Linked DNA regions of Schizosaccharomyces pombe. The protein of the gene in region 1 purifies or fractionates together with the protein of each later gene. This does not show direct contact. Each region holds a gene or a part of one and is shown in the gene's direction. Other genes may lie near its edges. The genes, in order: pfh1, irc3, mcm7 and mrm202.

Region 1 (5,439 bases):
CGTTTAAATATCCTTTTTATTACTTGTTGTTTTAAAAGGTTCCTTATTGGTTTCATCGTTTTTCAATTGTTTGTATAAATCACATTTCTTGCCGTTTGTGATTTGTATATATTGTACCAACTGTTTTCTTTCTTCAGTCTAGACACATAGATATATATTCGCATATATATAACTAATCAGCTTCTCTCTTTTCTTACACTTTCACTTAACTTTTTGCTATATTTTCGAATTTGAATTTTTCTTGCCACTATGGTTACCACCGTTGAAATGTTAACTACCTGGAACCCAGTGACCGTTTCCTTGGTTTCTCCTGTCATCATTTACTGGGTTGCTTCTGCTTTCTTCGGATTTTTGCATTACATTGAATTACCTGTCTTTGAGAAGTATCGCATTCATCCTCCGGAGGAGATAGCCAGACGCAACCGTGTTCCTCAGATGGCTGTTGTTAAAGCCGTGCTTTTCCAACAACTTTGCGAAGTCGTCGTTGGAATCGCATTGGCCATGTTCGAGGGCTATCCTGAACCCATTGACGAGGCTAAGCAAATGTTACGCTACGAGGCTTTCTTCAGCAAGAATTTGCCTGCTTTGTTACAAGTTGCTCCCTTTGCCCCTAAATTGGCTTATAACTTTATTGTTCCCGCATTCCAATACTTCTTTGCTTTCTTCATCATTGACAGCTGGCAATACTTCTGGCACCGTTACCTCCACTACAACAAGAAGCTCTACAACATGATTCATGCCCATCACCATCGTCTCCAAGTTCCCTATGCTATGGGTGCCCTTTACAACCATCCCTTTGAAGGTTTGATTTTGGACACTTTTGGCGCTGGTGTTGCTTATCTCGCCGCCGGTCTTTCTCCTCAACAAGCTGTTATTTTCTTCACCCTTTCTACCTTGAAGACTGTTGATGATCACTGTGGATACGTATTCCCTTATGACCCTCTTCAAATGTTCTTTGCCAATAATGCTCGTTACCATGACCTTCATCACCAACCTTACGGTTTCCAAAAGAACTTTAGCCAGCCCTTCTTTACCTTCTGGGACCACGTTTTGGGAACTTACATGCCTCCCAAGTCTGAAACTCCTTACGAGAAAAAGCAAAAGGCTAAGAATGCAAAGAAGGTTAACTAGAAATTACAAAAGTACATGTGCTCTGTGATATTTGCATTTTTTGAATCTTTCTTATCCTTAGTACTTCTGCTGAATCCAATATACTGTTTTTTTTATATTGAGTTATAAATGTTTACTATTAATTTTTTCTCATTCTTTCTAGTTTCTTTGTTTGCTATTTTCATTTTTTTTGAAATTTTATTAATCTAATTGTTCTTCCTTTTAAATTTGTCGGTAGTACAAATCGATTGGCAATCCTTACTGTTGAAGTTATCCCTCCTATGACTCTAGGTATTTGTGATAACCGTAACCTTGTATTTTTATGTTATTTTCCACTTCTAAAGTCTCTTTAAAACGGGATGTTTGACACGGACTGCTGAAGAACACGATACTTACCTAAAGATGCATGTTTTTGTGTATCTTTACCAAAGTTGGTTGGTCAACGAATTTAAATCGTTTGTCGCTCATTATTGAATTTTCGACTTAGTATTGATTGTTTTAGTCTACATACAGTATATAATTTATTAATTGATAGCATTTATTATTTACAGACTTCCGAGGATATGGTATCGTAGACGCGTTTTATCAAATATTATAAAATTAATAACTTACTGTAAACACGGGTTAATATTTGCTTCGATTGTAACATATTATAACAAAAGTCAATTTATTTGCATTGCATTGCATAGGCCCCGAAAGCAAATTATGCAAGTTATACTTAAGGAACGACTAATGTAAAAAGGACTTTATGATAATTACAGTATTGAATGATAAAAAATTTGTGCAAAAGTTGTGAAGTAAAAAACACGTGCCTGGTGGTGACAGACGTGACGCGTCTTGACATACGCGCTTTCATTTGTCTCGTCCACTACCACCGTAAATTTGATTTTTATTAGTATAGCGCTTTCATTTCTGTACCTCCTTGTCAACAGCCGTTTCCTCGACATTGACAAATTTCTTCAACCGGTATCCCAATTAATACAATCAACAAAGGGATACTTCCAACTCTTATGTGCTTGGACCGCTTATCATAGGTGTTAGGTCGAGGTCGCATAAGTCAGTAGCAGATTGTTGTTTAAATTCAAACTGAAATTGTTTTCTTGTTGCTTTTCTTCGATCAAACAATTTTGGGTGATCTATTTCGTTTACGGTTTCTTTTTTTAGACAACCTGCGTACAGATCGCCTTCCAGTTTCTTGAAGTAATTCGATGAATGTTTTCGTGCCAATCTCTTTATAAATTTAGTCACTCTTTTAGGAAACGTATCCCCGTCATGTTTCAAAGAGCTCAGCAGAAAAGCAGCTTGCTTCATACACAAAACGAGTCATCGCATCAACCCTCCTTGAACAAATTGGGCGGTTTTTCGTCCGCTTCTTTAAACTTCAATTCCTCTCGCTCCTCTACTAATGATGATCAGCAAACATTTTCTAGCCAGTCTGATAACCTTCCGTCATCTCCAATAACCCTACCAGCCAAAAGAGGTCGTTCTGCTGCTAGCTTAAAACAACTTGATAACACCGTGGGATTCGATGTTTCGAAACCCTCACTGCCCGTTTTTGAAAATTCTGGCTTGGGTAGTAAATACTCCACTGAAATAGCGAATGGCGTCTATATTGATGAAAATGACTTTGATGATGATCTACTTTTAGAAAACGATATTGACCAAAAACCAATTCCTTGGTCTTCATCCCCTATCGAGCATACTAAGTTAACTAAATCAATGCTCTCGAGCGAAAAGCGGTCAAAAAATCATCTCTCAAAAATTTACGAAGACCATACTTCTGAAAAAGGCGCAAGTAGCGTAATATCTAGTAATATTACGAGGCAGGGAATAAAACGCTCACGAACCCTTCCTTGGGCAGTGGATCCTTACAGATATGGAGATCCTGATCCTAAAAGAACCAGCACTTCAGCTGATATCAGTCAACACACTGTATCTAATGATTCTTCAAATAAGCTTAGCAATGGACGAAGCAGTTCTTTGGATAGTCTGGCTAAAAAACGCATGAGTAAATCTAAGTCTACCCCACAGATATCTAAAAAATTTTCTGTTCCTTTAAACTCTGCTTCCAAATCGCCAATAGGATCTTCTTTGTTTAAGACAAGTGATTCTCGTAAAAAATCTGTCCCTAGCATATTCCTTTCCGATGAGCAAAAAAGAATTTTAGACATGGTTGTTGAGCAACAACACAGTATATTTTTTACGGGCTCTGCTGGAACAGGTAAATCTGTTCTCCTCCGAAAAATAATTGAAGTCCTAAAATCTAAATATAGAAAGCAATCTGACAGAGTTGCTGTTACCGCTTCTACAGGCTTGGCAGCCTGTAATATCGGCGGTGTAACACTTCACTCCTTTGCTGGGGTAGGCCTTGCTCGTGAATCTGTCGACCTCCTGGTATCTAAAATAAAGAAAAATAAGAAGTGTGTTAATCGTTGGTTGCGCACCAGAGTTTTGATCATTGATGAAGGTAAACAATTTAAGTGAGTTTATATTTACTAATAACTATAGTTTCTATGGTCGATGCTGAATTAATGGACAAGTTAGAAGAGGTTGCGCGTGTTATTCGCAAAGATAGTAAGCCATTTGGTGGAATTCAGTTGGTTTTAACTGGGGATTTTTTTCAGTTACCTCCTGTTCCAGAAAATGGGAAAGAATCGAAATTCTGTTTCGAATCTCAGACATGGAAAAGCGCACTTGATTTTACAATAGGATTGACTCACGTTTTTCGGCAAAAGGATGAGGAATTTGTCAAAATGCTTAATGAATTGCGCCTCGGGAAATTATCTGATGAATCGGTTAGAAAATTCAAAGTTCTTAATAGAACGATTGAATATGAAGATGGGCTTCTTCCGACAGAGTTATTTCCCACACGTTATGAGGTTGAGCGTTCGAACGATATGCGTATGCAACAAATTAATCAAAATCCTGTCACGTTTACCGCTATTGACTCGGGTACTGTTCGAGATAAAGAATTTCGTGACCGATTACTGCAAGGGTGCATGGCTCCTGCCACTTTAGTGTTAAAGGTAAATGCTCAGGTAATGCTTATAAAGAATATAGATGATCAGTTAGTAAATGGATCTCTTGGAAAAGTTATAGGTTTCATAGATGATGAGACCTATCAAATGGAAAAAAAGGATGCTGAAATGCAGGGAAGAAATGCTTTTGAATATGATAGTTTAGACATTTCACCCTTTGATCTTCCAGACGTTAAGCAAAAGAAATATAAATTGATTGCAATGCGTAAAGCTTCATCCACGGCAATAAAATGGCCATTAGTTCGTTTTAAACTTCCAAATGGAGGTGAACGTACAATTGTTGTACAACGGGAAACTTGGAATATTGAGCTTCCCAATGGTGAGGTTCAAGCTTCTAGAAGCCAAATTCCTCTTATTTTGGCTTATGCGATATCTATTCACAAGGCACAAGGACAGACTTTGGATCGAGTCAAGGTTGATTTGGGTCGTGTTTTTGAGAAAGGGCAAGCGTATGTTGCCTTATCTCGTGCAACTACTCAAGAAGGTCTCCAGGTTCTTAATTTTTCGCCTGCGAAGGTGATGGCACACCCCAAAGTCGTGCAATTCTATAAACAACTGGCTTCTGTTAATGGTTTGCCGATACGTAATGAAAACAAGGCTCCAGTTCAAATGAGGGGAGTCAAAAATAAGTAAAAATCAATTTTTACGAGTTTACCATGTACTAAAGATTTATTCATAACGGCCTGAATATATATGGTTGAAGTGTACAGTGATTTTAGACTAATTAGGTAATTTTATTCATAGAAATAATTTTAATAATATATTCATATATTTAATTTCTTCTTTGTTTATTAAATTTGAGCTTTACATTTATTATTATTTTTCCTATGGTGCTAATTCATTTCTATAACAGCGGTATTCCTTGAGGATGTTTAATTATGTACAGGAAGTAATTGTTACAAGGCCACCTTCTAGTAATCTTTAACTATCGCATAAACTGTAATTAAACGAACAGGGTGCACCTCGCTTCAATCAGTCTCTTAACTTTAATAGCCAACACACCTTGACCATGCATAAAAACTGAACATTTAATCCACTTTCAATCAGAACTTTGAAATCGATAACATAAACACAGTTTTGATCGATTTATATACTGTTAAATTCTCGCCTCAAATACCCTGTCGAAAGAAACGACAGATAATCTATTATTATTTCCACAAAGTAATGCTAGAAAAATGAAACGTGTGGTAATAACTGGACTGGGGGCCGTAACCCCTCTAGGCAATGGAGTTAAAACCAATTGGCGAAATCTAATTCAAGGAAAATCAGGTATCGTATCTCTTAAAGGATT
Region 2 (4,611 bases), 200 kb from region 1:
TTCGGTAGTTCTTTCAAAGAGTCTTTGCAACAAGCATTATGTTCTGCACCAACAAGTTCCATTGCTTATCACGAAGAAGAAATAAATCCCGATAATACAATATATAGAGCTAAATGGGAAGAGTATTTTGGCGGTGTCATTTTGCATAATGCTTTTTTTATTCTTCATGTGTCTCTTGGGGAGGTACCTGATTTCCATCTTTTATTCCACTGCAGTTCAGATGTTAGGATTCTACAAGTGGTAAATGAATCTATGCCTATTAAATCTGAGTTTTTCATTTTAACTACCGAGTCCGTCTTGTGGATGGATATTCAACATCCTCAGAAGCCGCTACTTGAATGGAAACATAATAGAAAATTAGATCCTACTTTGAAAATTACGGTTACCGCTACTTTTTCTCAAAACATCTATGTCTCTGTTTATTCTCAAATGAATGGTGTTGTCCAACAAATTCATTTTTCAAAAGACAGAGCTCTACCTGTATCAGGTAGTCATCCATTTCTATTATTAAATGAGGTTCAGGTTCCCATAAGATCCCTCATTATACAACCTTGTTATTTTTTTGAGTCATCTGAATTTGACAGACAAGGTCCTTTTGATTCACCTTTTTGGTCTGCAATAATTGATAAGGCTGACGGATCTCTTTCCTTACATATTCTTTGCGAAAAAAGTTCTCTTAAAATATATAATTTAGAGGAGCTTACTGGTTCTAGCCAAGTTGCTATGAAATTTAAAACTATCACCCCTTCTGTAAACACTAGTGAAGATGATTCGGCAAATGATCAAGAAATAATAAGCACTCCGAATTCCGATTTTCAACAATTATCACTGTCACGGTTATACCATGTTTTGTGCTCTAATAGGAACAAAAAGAATACTATCACCCTTGATGAATTCGCTAGCAAAGTTCCGGATTTTGTAGAAGCTTTTGATTCTATCAATCACGATGTTATAATAACTTTGAGTGAGTTATATGACGGATTTCCTTTGAAAGGAACCTTTACTAATGTAGCTGAGATCATAAGTCATTTAGAAGGTACAGAACTATCATTTTATTTTCCTTATATGTTTGGTATTAACTACAACAATGCTTCTTTCTTTTATACTTCCGTGGACTCAATTGCTAGTTTAATACACAGGCGCTGGGAATCTAATACTGATAAGTCTGTCGAAATTCCTTGCTTTCAGTCTTCTCAAAGAAGATCTATAAAAAATGTTATTCACTATTTATTTCTTTCTTCTATAGGAGTCTCCAGGGAAAAAATATTTGATCCATCATTGTCTCGAAAGGAAATCGATTCAACCGACTTGCTTACATTTATCAAACCTTTTTATGATACGGAAGGCCTGGAGCTGAATGAAGATGTTAGAAATATTTTGGAGAATTGGGAGATTGGAAAGATATCTTCAACTTATGTCATTGGTGATAGCGCTGTCGAAACGGAGGATCCATCATCTAGCCAATTTAGTGATTTCTACATTTCACAACAGCAGTCTTCTGTACTTCCCTCAAGCCAAATTGCGACAGTCTTTTCTCAAGAAGATGTTCCTAATTTTTCATCGCTATACTCGGAGAGTTCTAGCCAAACTATCCCAATAATGTCACAAGTCGTTAGTGGCAAATATGGTTCTCGTCCTTCCAAAAAGAAAAAGAAAAGAAGCGGATTTTAAATCCACCCGTATTTATTTATCTGTAAGTGATTTGTTTACAACTTGGGGAATAATTTGCTTGAGTTATTGATACTATACCAATGCTTGGACATAAGGTTGGTAGTAAATTATTTGCATATATTATGAAATTGCTAAAATTTAAAATTTTTTTTTCTATAATGTTTATAGAACTTTCAAATTTTATATCTTAGTTAGCCTTTGTAAGTCAATAAAAGTAAGTAATAATTAATTGTCTGCATGTCATGCTAATTTATGCTCTGACAAATTATTTTAACTAAGCCATTTTATGCCCTTATCCATTGCTGTATTCTATAGTTATAAAATTATTTTTGTGTCAGAGATTATCTTGCCGTAGACATGCTACTAAACGCATGTTGCAAAAAGAATTTGTGGCCAAGAAATGGTTCAACTATATTTAGAAGATTTGCTCTTAAACTTCGTCCTTATCAAGAAGAATGCCTCAGTGCCTGCTTAAACGCTTTTGATGAAGGTAAACGTCGAATTGCTGTTTCATTAGCTACAGGCTCTGGTAAAACGGTATTACTGTTCTACTACTGACTGCAATATTAACACGTCTAAAGGCATTGTTTCCCCACTTTATAAAATATGCACCTACTTTAAGGCCAAACTCTGAGCAATGTCTAATTTTGGTTCACAGAAAGGAGTTAGCTTTACAGGCCCTCAAGCATTGCCGAGAAAGCCTTCCGAATAAGGTACCGTTCTTTTTCCAAATAGATTCCACGCTGTTTCGTTTACTAACTTTGCCATAGTCTATTGAGATTGATATGGGCAATCAGTGTGCATCCGGACTGGCTGATGTTACCGTTGCGTCAGTTTTTTCTTTAAAAAATGAAAGACTACTTAAATATAATCCTCTCAATTTTAAACTTTTAATTTTTGATGAAGTTCACCATATGGCGTCTCCTTCGTACTTACGAATCCTTGAGCATTTTGGCGCAGAATCGGAAAAATCGAAAGTGAATGTGATAGGACTTACTGCGACTCTTTTCAGAGCAGACGGAAAAGGGTTGGCTTGTGGCCTAGATGAGATTGTTTATCACAGGTAATGCTAACAGTAGAACGTTCAAATGCTAATAAATAGACATTTCGTGGACATGATCAAAGATAACTGGTAAGTGTGTCATATTTATAGGTACTCTTCCTAACTCCCAATGTTAAGGCTTGTTGAACCAAAAGTCATAAACATAAAGTGGTCTACAGATCTTGTGTTAGCTGATTCGTCTAGCTTCTTGGACCAAGAGAAGTTAAAAAAGGAGGCACAATCAGAAAAGGCAATATTCGAAATTCCAAGAGCTTGGCTCGAACATGCTAGTAAGCTGAATATAGTTATCTCTATATTAATTTCCTTTTAGGTAACCGCTCATCTACATTGGTGTTTTGCATAAATGTAGAGCATTCATTAAAAGTTTGTAATGCATTTCGAAAATTAGGTATTGATGCCCGAGCTTTGTTTGGGGAAACTAATGATTCGGAACGTGAAACTTTAATCCAAGATTTCCGAAAAAAGAAATTTCCTGTCCTTGTTAATTGCATGGTGTTGACTGAAGGGACCGATATTCCTAATATTGATTGTTTAATGATCGCTCGGCCTACAAGTTCTCCAAATTTACTTACACAGATGATTGGTAGGGGATTGCGATTGCATGAGGGAAAAAGAGATTGTCTAATATTAGATTTTTGTGATTCTTTAAGAAGAGTCAGTCTACATGTTGACCCTACTTTAGCTGGTCTTTCCCCCGATGAAGTTGAAAACTTTTATAATAAATCAAAGAATTCCCTTGCGAACCCTGATTATGATCCTAAAATTTATGGATTACAATCTGTTTTGTGGTACAGCAAATTACGGAAGTTGATAGAAATGATGGATAACATTAAAAACAAAGATAGGAGCATTTTCAATTTATCTACTAATGCTTGGGTTGCTGTCGGTATGGGTCGATATGTCTTGAGCTTTTTACAAAAGGTGTTGATAATTGATACAAATTTTGAAGATGGGACACATAAGATATCTGAATATACGAAAGAGAAATTAGGGACTCGAGTGTATAATCGAAAACGTATTGTATCCGATCGCATACCTTCCTTGAAATTCGCGATAAGGGCAGCGGAAACATACATTTCCAATTTGAAAACACCTCGTTCTCTTATTAGTCGTAAAGCAGTGTGGAGAATGAGACCCGCGTCTGTTAGACAAATAAACTTCTTGAAAAAATCAAATTTAAAACTAGATGAAAAACTCTTGACAGCAGGTGTTGCAGCTGATATGATTACTAAAGTAATTTATGGAGGAAAAGGTCGACAAGTTAGAACAGATAAGCTACAAAGTTATCTGAAACACGACGCAAATTTAAAGCGTATTACTACATTGAAGGAATTAAAGGGTTGATGGTTTCAGTGTTCTTCATAAAAATCGTTTTCTTCACTGTACCAGTGATAATATTTGCTTGGAGTGGAAAAGAAATGTCTATTATATGCTTTTAAAGAAAATATGAATGTCCTTATCTAAAAAGTATATTACTGGTATATATATTAAGACTGCTTCAGCTTGTTTCGTCTCCTTTCAGGTCGATTTTGAACGCTGCTGCGAGTTTTTCCTCCCAGCCTGGAGCTGAAAATTCTGAAAAATCAAAGCAGTTTTCATCGTCTAGTGCAAAAGACCCCTGTTTCAATCTCACAAGATCGACCATGTGTGCTTCACTATTTACTTGTCGGCCCAAATCATGAATTAAAGAGCGAACGTAGAAACCAGAAGAAACCGTCATATCAAGGACTGCAATTGGCCCTATTGCAGGTCGTGATCCTCGCGCTAAATCAGTGACTTCAAACTTTCGTTTTTTAGGGTTTGTGACAGTTTGATCTTTGGCTACATCTGTAACAGAATTGGTAGTGGGACTCTTCGCGTTTATTTTTTCATCACCA
Region 3 (4,642 bases), 150 kb from region 1:
ACAAAAGTTTTCTTCCACCGCGATTATCTCTTGCGATGTGGCTTCCCAAGATGTGTTGTGGTTAATGGCAAAACTTTCAAAGGTAGGTTATCCAATGTAGTGCACAGTATTGTAGTATATTCAACACCACCGTTTTTTTTGTGGATGTTAATTTGTCGCACTTTGGGTATGATAACACAATGAATAAGAGTGAAGGCAAAATAGACAAAATGCTGCCTTATTTTACAGAGTGGAAAATTGCAGTTAAACTAAGTCAAAGGCTGATGGAGATGAATAACGTTGAAAAAAAACAATGTACTAATTAATATTTGGAGACAAACGCAACGAGTAAAAAAAATGAAATAAATTCGAAGACAATCTCAAATTAAATGGGAAAAGCAAGGGCTTACTTCCTTTCCCTTCTGGTGTGTTATAATAACGGTTTCTTAAAGCAGGAAATTGTAGCTAGTTAATAGAAAAATGTGATAGCTTAAATCGAAGAATTCGATGCTAAGCGTGGAGTCGAATAAATTCAATTATTTAGGCTCAAATAATTGAAAAAATAGAAATGAATTTATTACTTTATGTAATAAATAAATTATTAAATTTCTCACTTTTTGTTATAATTTAATAAAGTAGTTTTCAGTGTAATACTTAAGACGCGTCAGGGTACCTCAATTTATGTTGTAGATGAAACGCAATGATATCAGCCTAGTAGTACGATATGATGTTAGAAATAAATATCTCTTCACAATCTCCTTTTCATCCGAGATGTAGAGCGCTTTATAACTGCTCAAATATTACAAATCACGAAACTTCTAATGCGACGCGACCGTACATAAAGACATTGCTTAATTAAAAAAAGATAAGCGCGACAGAGACCTAGCCACATACTGTGAATAATTTTAATACCTTGATCCTTTCGTAAAAAAAAAAAGAAATACTTATATTCGTCTATTGTAAACAGAAAATAAATAAGCATTCCAATAGCACGTTTCTATTGCGTGTTGTGCTTTTAGGTACAGTTTACAATGTGGTATAAAACAATAAAGAATTTTCTATATTCATTCTTCACTGATGTTTGAAATAACCGAACAAAAAATAAAAAGTTCCCTACTCGAAGTTTTTATATTGTTGATATCGCATTTCTTTTGAGAATTTCCCTGCTAACTTACTTCATAAGTTTTCAAAAAAATTTTTAAAAATAAAAGTGAAATAAATTTTAGGCAGTAGTCTAAATAACTCTCATGTTTAGAAATACAAAACGTGTAGAAGAAAAATAGGAAAAATTATGGATAGCTAAAATAACAATCGATTGAAGCAATGAAAACAATTAGACATACATTTATGAAAATAAAATGACCAATTTATTGTCTGGCAAAATGATTATTATTAATTTAAAACAAATAAACTGTTTATTTATACATAGTGAATACTCTCCAAAAAAAATTTCTAACAGTACTACATAGTGGCTTTTAAAATCAAACTGAATGTTTACTTTTGCTGCGAGAGTAATAAATTAAAAAGGAAATATGTAGAGAATCAAAAAAATTATACACTGCAATTTCTTTAGAGTCAATGACAATTTGTATATGCCCTAAGTTACAATATTTACATTTTTGTTACCTTACGAGTTCGCGTTGATTCATACTACCAACTAACTAAAACAACCTAAAGAAGAACCTTTCTTGGTATCTTACCCTTACTTAATACCCTTGCTTTCTTTTTGAACCTTTATATTTTTTGCTAATTCAGCAGAAAAGTTTTGGGATACTTTTTTGGTTTGAAAAGCATGGCACTTCCCACCATAGATTTAAAAATCCCAGAGTATGAAGAATGTCAACATAAAATTACGGATTTTCTATCCCACTTCAAGCAGGAACAGGTTCAAGATGGACAACAAAATCAGGATATTTCGATGTCGGATGCAGGTGATGAGCCTTTTTTAAAATCAAAGTATATGGATATACTACAAAAAATCTCCAATCGAGAGTCAAATGTTATTAATGTTGATTTGAATGATTTGTACGAGTTCGATCCAAGTGATACTCAGCTTTTGCATAATATTGAATCTAATGCTAAACGGTTTGTTGAACTTTTTTCGCAGTGCGCAGATGCGTTGATGCCTCCTCCTACTGTGGAAATTAATTATCGCAACGAAGTACTTGATGTAATTATGCAGCAACGTGTTCAAAGGAATGAAAATATAGACCCTGAGCATAAAGGATTTCCTCCTGAATTAACCCGAGGTTATGACTTATACTTTCGACCAGTAACTCGCAACAAAAAACCATTCAGCGTTCGTGATTTAAGAGGCGAAAACTTGGGATCTCTTTTGACTGTCCGTGGTATAGTTACTCGTACAAGTGATGTTAAGCCTAGCTTAACTGTAAATGCTTATACATGTGATCGATGTGGGTATGAAGTGTTTCAAGAAATCCGTCAGAAGACATTCCTTCCAATGTCTGAATGTCCTTCGGATGAATGTAAAAAGAATGATGCAAAAGGTCAGCTTTTCATGAGCACAAGAGCCAGTAAATTTCTTCCTTTTCAGGAAGTAAAAATACAAGAATTAACGAACCAAGTACCTATTGGCCATATCCCTAGATCATTAACCGTCCACTTATATGGTGCTATCACTCGCTCTGTAAATCCTGGCGATATCGTTGATATTTCTGGTATATTTTTGCCGACTCCGTATACTGGTTTTCGAGCAATGCGCGCCGGGCTCTTAACCGATACTTACTTAGAATGCCATTATGTTTCACAAATCATTAAAAATTACACAAATATTGAAAAAACTCCTCAATCGGAGGCTGCTATCGCTGAATTAAATCAAGGAGGCAATGTGTACGAAAAACTGGCCAAGTCCATTGCTCCCGAGATATATGGACATGAAGATGTTAAAAAAGCTTTACTTCTGTTGCTTGTCGGAGGTGTTACTAAAGAGTTAGGGGATGGAATGAGAATTCGTGGTGACATAAATATTTGTTTAACTGGTGATCCTGGTGTCGCAAAATCTCAATTATTAAAGTATATTTCGAAGGTTGCCCCGAGAGGAGTATACACCACAGGTCGTGGATCTTCAGGTGTTGGTTTAACTGCTGCTGTAATGCGTGATCCAGTGACGGATGAAATGGTTTTAGAGGGAGGTGCCTTAGTACTTGCTGACAACGGTATTTGCTGCATTGACGAATTTGATAAGATGGATGAAAGTGACCGTACAGCAATTCATGAAGTAATGGAACAGCAAACTATTTCAATTTCAAAGGCAGGAATCACTACGACTTTAAATGCTCGAACAAGTATTTTGGCCGCTGCGAACCCCTTATATGGACGATATAATCCGAAAGTGGCACCAATCCACAATATAAATCTTCCAGCTGCACTGCTTTCCCGGTTTGATATTTTATTTTTAATTTTAGATACTCCTTCTCGTGAAACAGACGAGCATTTGGCACAACACGTAACATATGTTCACATGCATAACGAACAACCTAAAATGGACTTTGAACCATTAGATCCAAACATGATTAGGCATTATATTTCTTCTGCTAGACAATATCGCCCAGTCGTACCAAAGGATGTATGCGACTATGTTACTGGTGCTTATGTTCAACTTCGACAAAACCAAAAGCGTGATGAAGCCAATGAGCGTCAATTCGCTCACACTACTCCACGTACACTTCTCGCTATTTTGCGAATGGGACAAGCATTAGCTCGTTTGCGTTTCAGTAATAGAGTGGAGATTGGCGATGTTGATGAAGCTTTGAGATTAATGTCTGTTTCAAAGTCATCACTATACGATGATTTGGATCCTAGTTCTCACGATACTACTATTACCTCGAAAATATATAAAATTATTCGAGACATGCTTAATAGCATACCAGATGTTGAAGGCAATGAACGCTCACTTACACTACGTGCTATTCGTGAACGCGTACTTGCTAAGGGTTTTACTGAAGATCATTTAATAAATACAATACAGGAATATACAGACCTTGGTGTTCTTTTAACTACAAACAATGGTCAAACAATAATGTTCCTCGATCCGGATTTACATATGGAGAATTAACAATTTACTAATAGATAACTCCTATCATTTAATTTTTCTGCCAATTAATTGCTTTAAGCTAATTTACAACCTATAGAAATTATTCTGAGACGTCAAACTACTTTTCTGTTGAATATTCTTTAATTCTGACTAATACATCTGTCGTTCTTTTAATCTATGATAGTTTATTTACTTGTATTCAAATGTTAATTCACGCAATTGAAAGGAAGATATATTAAGCCAATATGTTTCGTTAGATTTGGAAGGACCATAAAACCTTAAGATACGTGTCAATATGCTCGAGTCGTAGGAATGAGTAATGAGTTTTTATTTCTTGACATTTAGCATTATTTTACACCTTTAACTTGTTCATCACTGCTGTCCCACCCTTCCTGCTGTCATGCCGAGTAAATTGCGAATAGAACTTTACGCACTTCCTTAGAGCAACCAACTTTGGATACCCATTGGTGTCAAGAAATGGGCATTCCATTTTAAATAACTTACTTTGTTTTAACGTCTTTTTAATACTGATTAATTCCATTATAACTAGTTTGCCGGATCCACTTCTCCGTAAGAATCAAATAAAGAAATTTGCTGAATATTCGAAAT
Region 4 (4,639 bases), on another chromosome or scaffold:
GAAAATTATCCCTGTTATGAGTATTACATGGTATACATATGAAACTGTTAGTAAAATGCTTCACGATCTTTAAATTAAGAGTCGTCTTGTCAATTTCAAAATGATGCTACCCAACATACCCCTACTATTGAAATATACTACAGATATCATATTAGAAATTTTTGTAAATTAATAATGATTTTATGCATAAGAACCCGAACTTTCCCGGATACAACATAGTCAAAGAATGAATAGCAGTAGGCTCAAGCAGCATTCATTAAGTCATACATTTCTTTAAATTAGAAGCTTAAATGGATACATACTAACTTTCCTCTTAAAAATATCAACAAGGAAACTATAACCAATCCAAAGGAATGCCAACCATATTATAACGAACAAAGTTTGGCGTTTGGCTCCTTCGACTTTAGGAGCAACGATTGCAAGGAAGATGGAAGACATGGTTAAAGCGGTATCTAAAAATGTTAGAGAATCACTTTAAAATTTTAACGACAAACTTACACAATAGGGAAACAACTTGAACTTCAGCACCAAATTGAAATTGTTGAGAACCAGCAAGCCAAAGGTTTTCACCGTGTTCACCACGTTGACTATAAGGACTGAAACGAATGCGAGTAAACATGTAACCACTACTTAAAGTAATAACGGTGATAATGGTTAAGGCGGCCCAAACTTTGCGACTTGTAAAGATTTTGACAATAATTTTACGGGTAAAGAATAAAGCAGCTCCAACGATAATATAGGAAAGAAAAGCACCAACCCGTTTGGCTTGATCTTGCTTATATACAATATCGGCGATTTTCCCAGTATGCTTTTCTACAATAGCAGCAAGATGAGAAGCAGTGACACTAAGTAAGTTAGTTTTTTTATTTCTTCAAAAAAACTAAAAATAGTACGGCGAATTACTAAAAAAAAGTATTCGCAAACAAACAATTTCGGAGGAAAGATGAGTGTTTGGACTTACCCATGGCTTAAGTCTACGTGGATAGCTTGAATAGATTTTGGTTTAAAAATCCAAAAATTAGGGACGCTTTCAATGGAAAACTATGAGTACAATTAGTATTGATAAAGTTGGGAAAATTTACAAGACTGCATCACATACGTCCTGAAAAAGATTCTTATTCTTTCCAAAATCAGCGTAGGTAAAACGTATTCCACTGTCAAGACCATATTTTAACTTGTACGAATTAGCAAGCGCTTTAAATTCCGGTTCAATGAGACTAACAACGTTAGAAAATAAATCAACTTAATATAATATTTTCTGAGCTTACCGACAAACATCACAGTTCATGGTAGAGGAATCGGCTGAGAAAAGAGCTACTGTGGTGAAATCTTGTTTTCCATTTACGATTCGATGAAACAATCTGCCGGTAATTTGAATAACTCCATCAGCATCCGTTTTTGAATTTAAATCTAATTTTGCAAAGCATGTAATTACAAAGAGGGAGAAAAACGAGAGGATTTTGAAGAAATTCATCTTGCCTTCAATAGTTTGTCCTTGGCAGCCTCATTTCTGCTTAATGGCTGCCCCCGCTAAGCAAACCGTCGATGCGCAGAGATTCGTTATATTTGTTACCTATGAAGTTGCAATTCATTAAACAAACTTAAGAGATTTCAAAGAATAAACAGAAAGCTTTTGATTTCTTGGGATTAGTTAAATAAATTTTCTTTCTATTAAAGGTTTAATAATATAAGTTATTATCATTAGCTTTAGAGTATATTATAATTTTTTACTTCCAGGGACTAATTACTTTATAGTTTGTAAATATATTTTGTTTATATTTGCCATTTACTCCAAATATACCTGCAGTCGATCCATAATAATAGTTTATAATTCTTGCCAGACATTTAATATTTTCGTATATATTTACGTTGTTCCGCAACCATAGTCTCCTCGATCAAAAAGCATTTCTTTACTAACAAACTCACCTGGTCAACAATTTTTTATACCTTTTTTTTCCTAATTTATCAAAATCTCCTAGTCAAGTTTTTACATTGCCCATGAATTATTATATGTTGATATTTACTATCAGTGACTATTCATGTTAGATAATGCTTTCCACAAAATAATATGTCTATGAGAATTTGGAGTAGAAGTTCCTCTGCTTATTCGGCCATAGCCAGAAGTTCTTCTTGGTTTAACAATTCTCTCTTTTCAAGTTGTTTATTACGTTTTTATTCCAACCCTCCTAAAAAGACAAAAAAGAATACTTTAATATCTCTGAGAAAGTCAGCTGAGACAGCAAATGAAAAATTCATTGAGAAAGTAAGTTCAATTGTTAAAAGGGTCCCGTCGAAATGTCAACAGACGTCCGTTGCAAGGTATTCTTAGGAGCATACTGCATCTAAGAAACTGTCGTACATATTCCGTATATCTGCTGAACTTTTCAAGGTTCAATTAATATTTTTCTATGGAGTTGTTTATTGCTAACTATTAAGATAAACAAAGAGCATCAGCTTTTCAAACCTGGTCAGATTGTTGTTGATTTGGTAGGTAAATGGTCAAATTTTTATACGCAACTAATCAATTTAGGGTTGTGCACCTGGAATATGGAGTACAATAGCTGCTCGACATGTTGGTTTGTTTGGTAGAGTTATTGCATGTGATATAATTCCTTGTAGGCTCCCTGAAAACTCCAGTATGATTCAAGGTAATATACTAAGTATGGAAATTCAGCTTGAAATAGCTAAGGCAGCCATTCGTAGTCGAAACTCTTTTTTTCGAAATCAACAAGATCATAATTCTGCTTCTATTCCCTACTTGCAGTCAGTCTTTGAAGAAGAAAGAGATACAAAAGAGAAAGCCAAAATTGAAGATTTGTCAGCAGATGTTATAATGAGTGATTTAGGTCCCCCATTTCCAATGGTTCAGGGATTCGAATTTTGGATTTCAAAATTACCTTATTTAGCTATGCAAACTAATGAGCATTTAGCAGTTAAGGACGAGTTGGATTCGCTTTATCTTGCCCAGGCAGCTTTATTATTTGCCATAAAAGCACTGAAACCAGATGGAATTTTCCTTTGTAAAGTATTGGAAAGTTCACATTTACGAAGTTTTGCTGAGGATTTATCTATGTGCTTTAAATGTGTAAAAAAAATTCAATTTAAAACTAAAATTAAAGATGAGCTATATGCAGTTTATTTTTGTTCCGGGAAGCAGCTGTCATGTCATTCTAAGCTTTTGAACATTTAAAGGTTTTAGTACATAGTTTGTTGATAAGAGGAACATTCTTTCCCTTTTCCTGAACTTATTTGTCGTGGATTTTTGTGTTATTCTCATCTAGAGAAAACAGATTTTCGAGCGAAGCGTTGTTCATTGCTTTGTCTATGATTTTTGTCATGTACAATTGCATTTCTTTCATGGAGTGCTTTAAATCATTTAACTCTTCTTCTAATTTTAGAATTTTAGACTTATGGTTGCCGGAAATTTCTCTAAGTAATTCCTTCTCTGTTTGCTTATATTCCTCTTTTAACCTTGGATCATCGGTGTCCGAGACGGCCTAATGAGAGCAGTCAGACCTTGCATTATACTAAATATAATCATACCATTTGAAGTACAGCTGCTTGAAGATTTTTATTGCTGTTACTGAGTCTTTCAATTTCTTTTATATAGCCCTCAATTTTTCTATTACAGGGATTTTGGAAAGTATTATTCACCCCAACAGACCTTTTGGAGTATGTCCTTAAACCTGGATCAATGTTTTCGTCAACAATTTTGAAATTTTGCAACTTTTCATAATAATCTACATCTTCAATATTTAAATCTTTAACGTTTTCTGTTTCAATATTATAGAGGTTTTGGTTTAAGGGGTCGGATTGAGAATCCAAATAACTATCCCTATTGGGATGAATGCTTGAAGATAAGTTTATTATTTCCGTATTTTCCTTTAAAAAGCGGTCTTGCATTTTTAAAATGAAGTTTGTTGAGGATACGTTATGTTTACTCTATGTGACAAATGTAAACAACTTAAACGGAACATTCGAAAAATCATAAGGATCTTCGTGAACCTGTCAAGTAATTCAGAAGATAAACTATATTTTATCAAAAAATAACAATCAAATTATATTTCATGTAAGTATATCCCATATGCAAAGAATTAAAAGAACAGAACAACACAATTGTCAAAAAGTATTCTAGCAAACTTAATGACTAATGAAAATTTACAAACAGATTAAAAAAAGAATAATTAACGTTAAATAATTTTGTAGAGACTGTCAATGGTCAACTGAAGGCAACATTTCGTGTTAGTCCAAATAGTCCCAATTCATCCAAACAATGACTTACGCAGACACTAAAAAAGAATCCGGGTATTTGTAAAGTTGCCAAATAAGCATAACCATCGTAAAAAAACTTGCAATACCCACTGGCACGACAGCAAAAACGGTGATCTCTAAAAAATCGAGATTGTGTCGATAATTGGAAGATGAACTGGATGAGGAACGAAAAGGAAGTGTTCTAATTATGGGAGAGGTGATCCAATCTTGAACTATGTAGGCTGCAGTCTGGAAACAAGAGATAGCAATCCAGGCTGGAAGTAAATAAGCGTTGTCGCCATGTGTAATAAAACTAACGCTTAATGATAGGAATGAAAAATTTATCACGTTGAGTGAAAAGAGCCTTATAATGGTAGGTCCAATTGAG

What was found.
Region 2: the proteins of pfh1 (region 1) and irc3 purify together in Schizosaccharomyces pombe (affinity purification with mass spectrometry, with the first as the bait; one study listed by BioGRID). This does not show direct contact.
Region 3: the proteins of pfh1 (region 1) and mcm7 purify together in Schizosaccharomyces pombe (affinity purification with mass spectrometry, with the first as the bait; one study listed by BioGRID). This does not show direct contact.
Region 4: the proteins of pfh1 (region 1) and mrm202 purify together in Schizosaccharomyces pombe (affinity purification with mass spectrometry, with the first as the bait; one study listed by BioGRID). This does not show direct contact.

Annotation. Positions count from the first base shown.
Region 1 is NC_003423.3:3,567,072-3,572,510, reverse strand, and holds pfh1 (DNA repair and recombination protein), read left to right. Parts: upstream 1-2,034; 5' UTR 2,035-2,322; coding exon 2,323-3,577; exon of another isoform or gene 3,578-3,618; coding exon 3,619-4,781; 3' UTR 4,782-4,918; downstream 4,919-5,439. Other genes in the region: sphingosine hydroxylase/sphingolipid delta-4 desaturase Sur2, read left to right, coding at 250-1,131; cem1 (3-oxoacyl-[acyl-carrier-protein]-synthase condensing enzyme), read left to right, coding at 5,324-5,439.
Region 2 is NC_003423.3:3,366,638-3,371,248, reverse strand, and holds irc3 (ATP-dependent DNA helicase Irc3), read left to right. Parts: upstream 1-2,022; 5' UTR 2,023-2,028; coding exon 2,029-2,208; exon of another isoform or gene 2,209-2,252; coding exon 2,253-2,384; exon of another isoform or gene 2,385-2,441; coding exon 2,442-2,734; exon of another isoform or gene 2,735-2,773; coding exon 2,774-2,803; exon of another isoform or gene 2,804-2,851; coding exon 2,852-3,003; exon of another isoform or gene 3,004-3,044; coding exon 3,045-4,078; downstream 4,079-4,611. Other genes in the region: RNA polymerase I transcription factor subunit Rrn6, read left to right, coding at 1-1,671; pus4 (tRNA pseudouridine synthase), read right to left, coding at 4,233-4,611.
Region 3 is NC_003423.3:3,717,050-3,721,691, reverse strand, and holds mcm7 (MCM complex subunit Mcm7), read left to right. Parts: upstream 1-1,652; 5' UTR 1,653-1,771; coding exon 1,772-4,054; 3' UTR 4,055-4,115; downstream 4,116-4,642. Other genes in the region: nucleolar protein Dnt1, read left to right, coding at 4,641-4,642. UniProt on the Schizosaccharomyces pombe protein: Acts as a component of the MCM2-7 complex (MCM complex) which is the replicative helicase essential for 'once per cell cycle' DNA replication initiation and elongation in eukaryotic cells.
Region 4 is NC_003424.3:1,279,965-1,284,603, reverse strand, and holds mrm202 (2' O-ribose methyltransferase Mrm2-like protein), read left to right. Parts: upstream 1-1,781; 5' UTR 1,782-2,068; coding exon 2,069-2,263; exon of another isoform or gene 2,264-2,436; coding exon 2,437-2,487; exon of another isoform or gene 2,488-2,530; coding exon 2,531-3,190; 3' UTR 3,191-3,245; coding exon of another isoform or gene 3,246-3,497; 3' UTR 3,498-3,543; coding exon of another isoform or gene 3,544-3,903; 3' UTR 3,904-4,109; downstream 4,110-4,639. Other genes in the region: mrx21 (coenzyme A/ diphosphate transporter), read left to right, coding at 1-73; oligosaccharyltransferase gamma subunit Ost3, read right to left, coding at 274-452, 499-845, 962-1,041, 1,100-1,217, 1,269-1,474; SPOM_SPAPB17E12.09 (uncharacterized protein), read right to left, coding at 3,246-3,497, 3,544-3,903; eos1 (N-glycosylation protein), read right to left, coding at 4,279-4,639.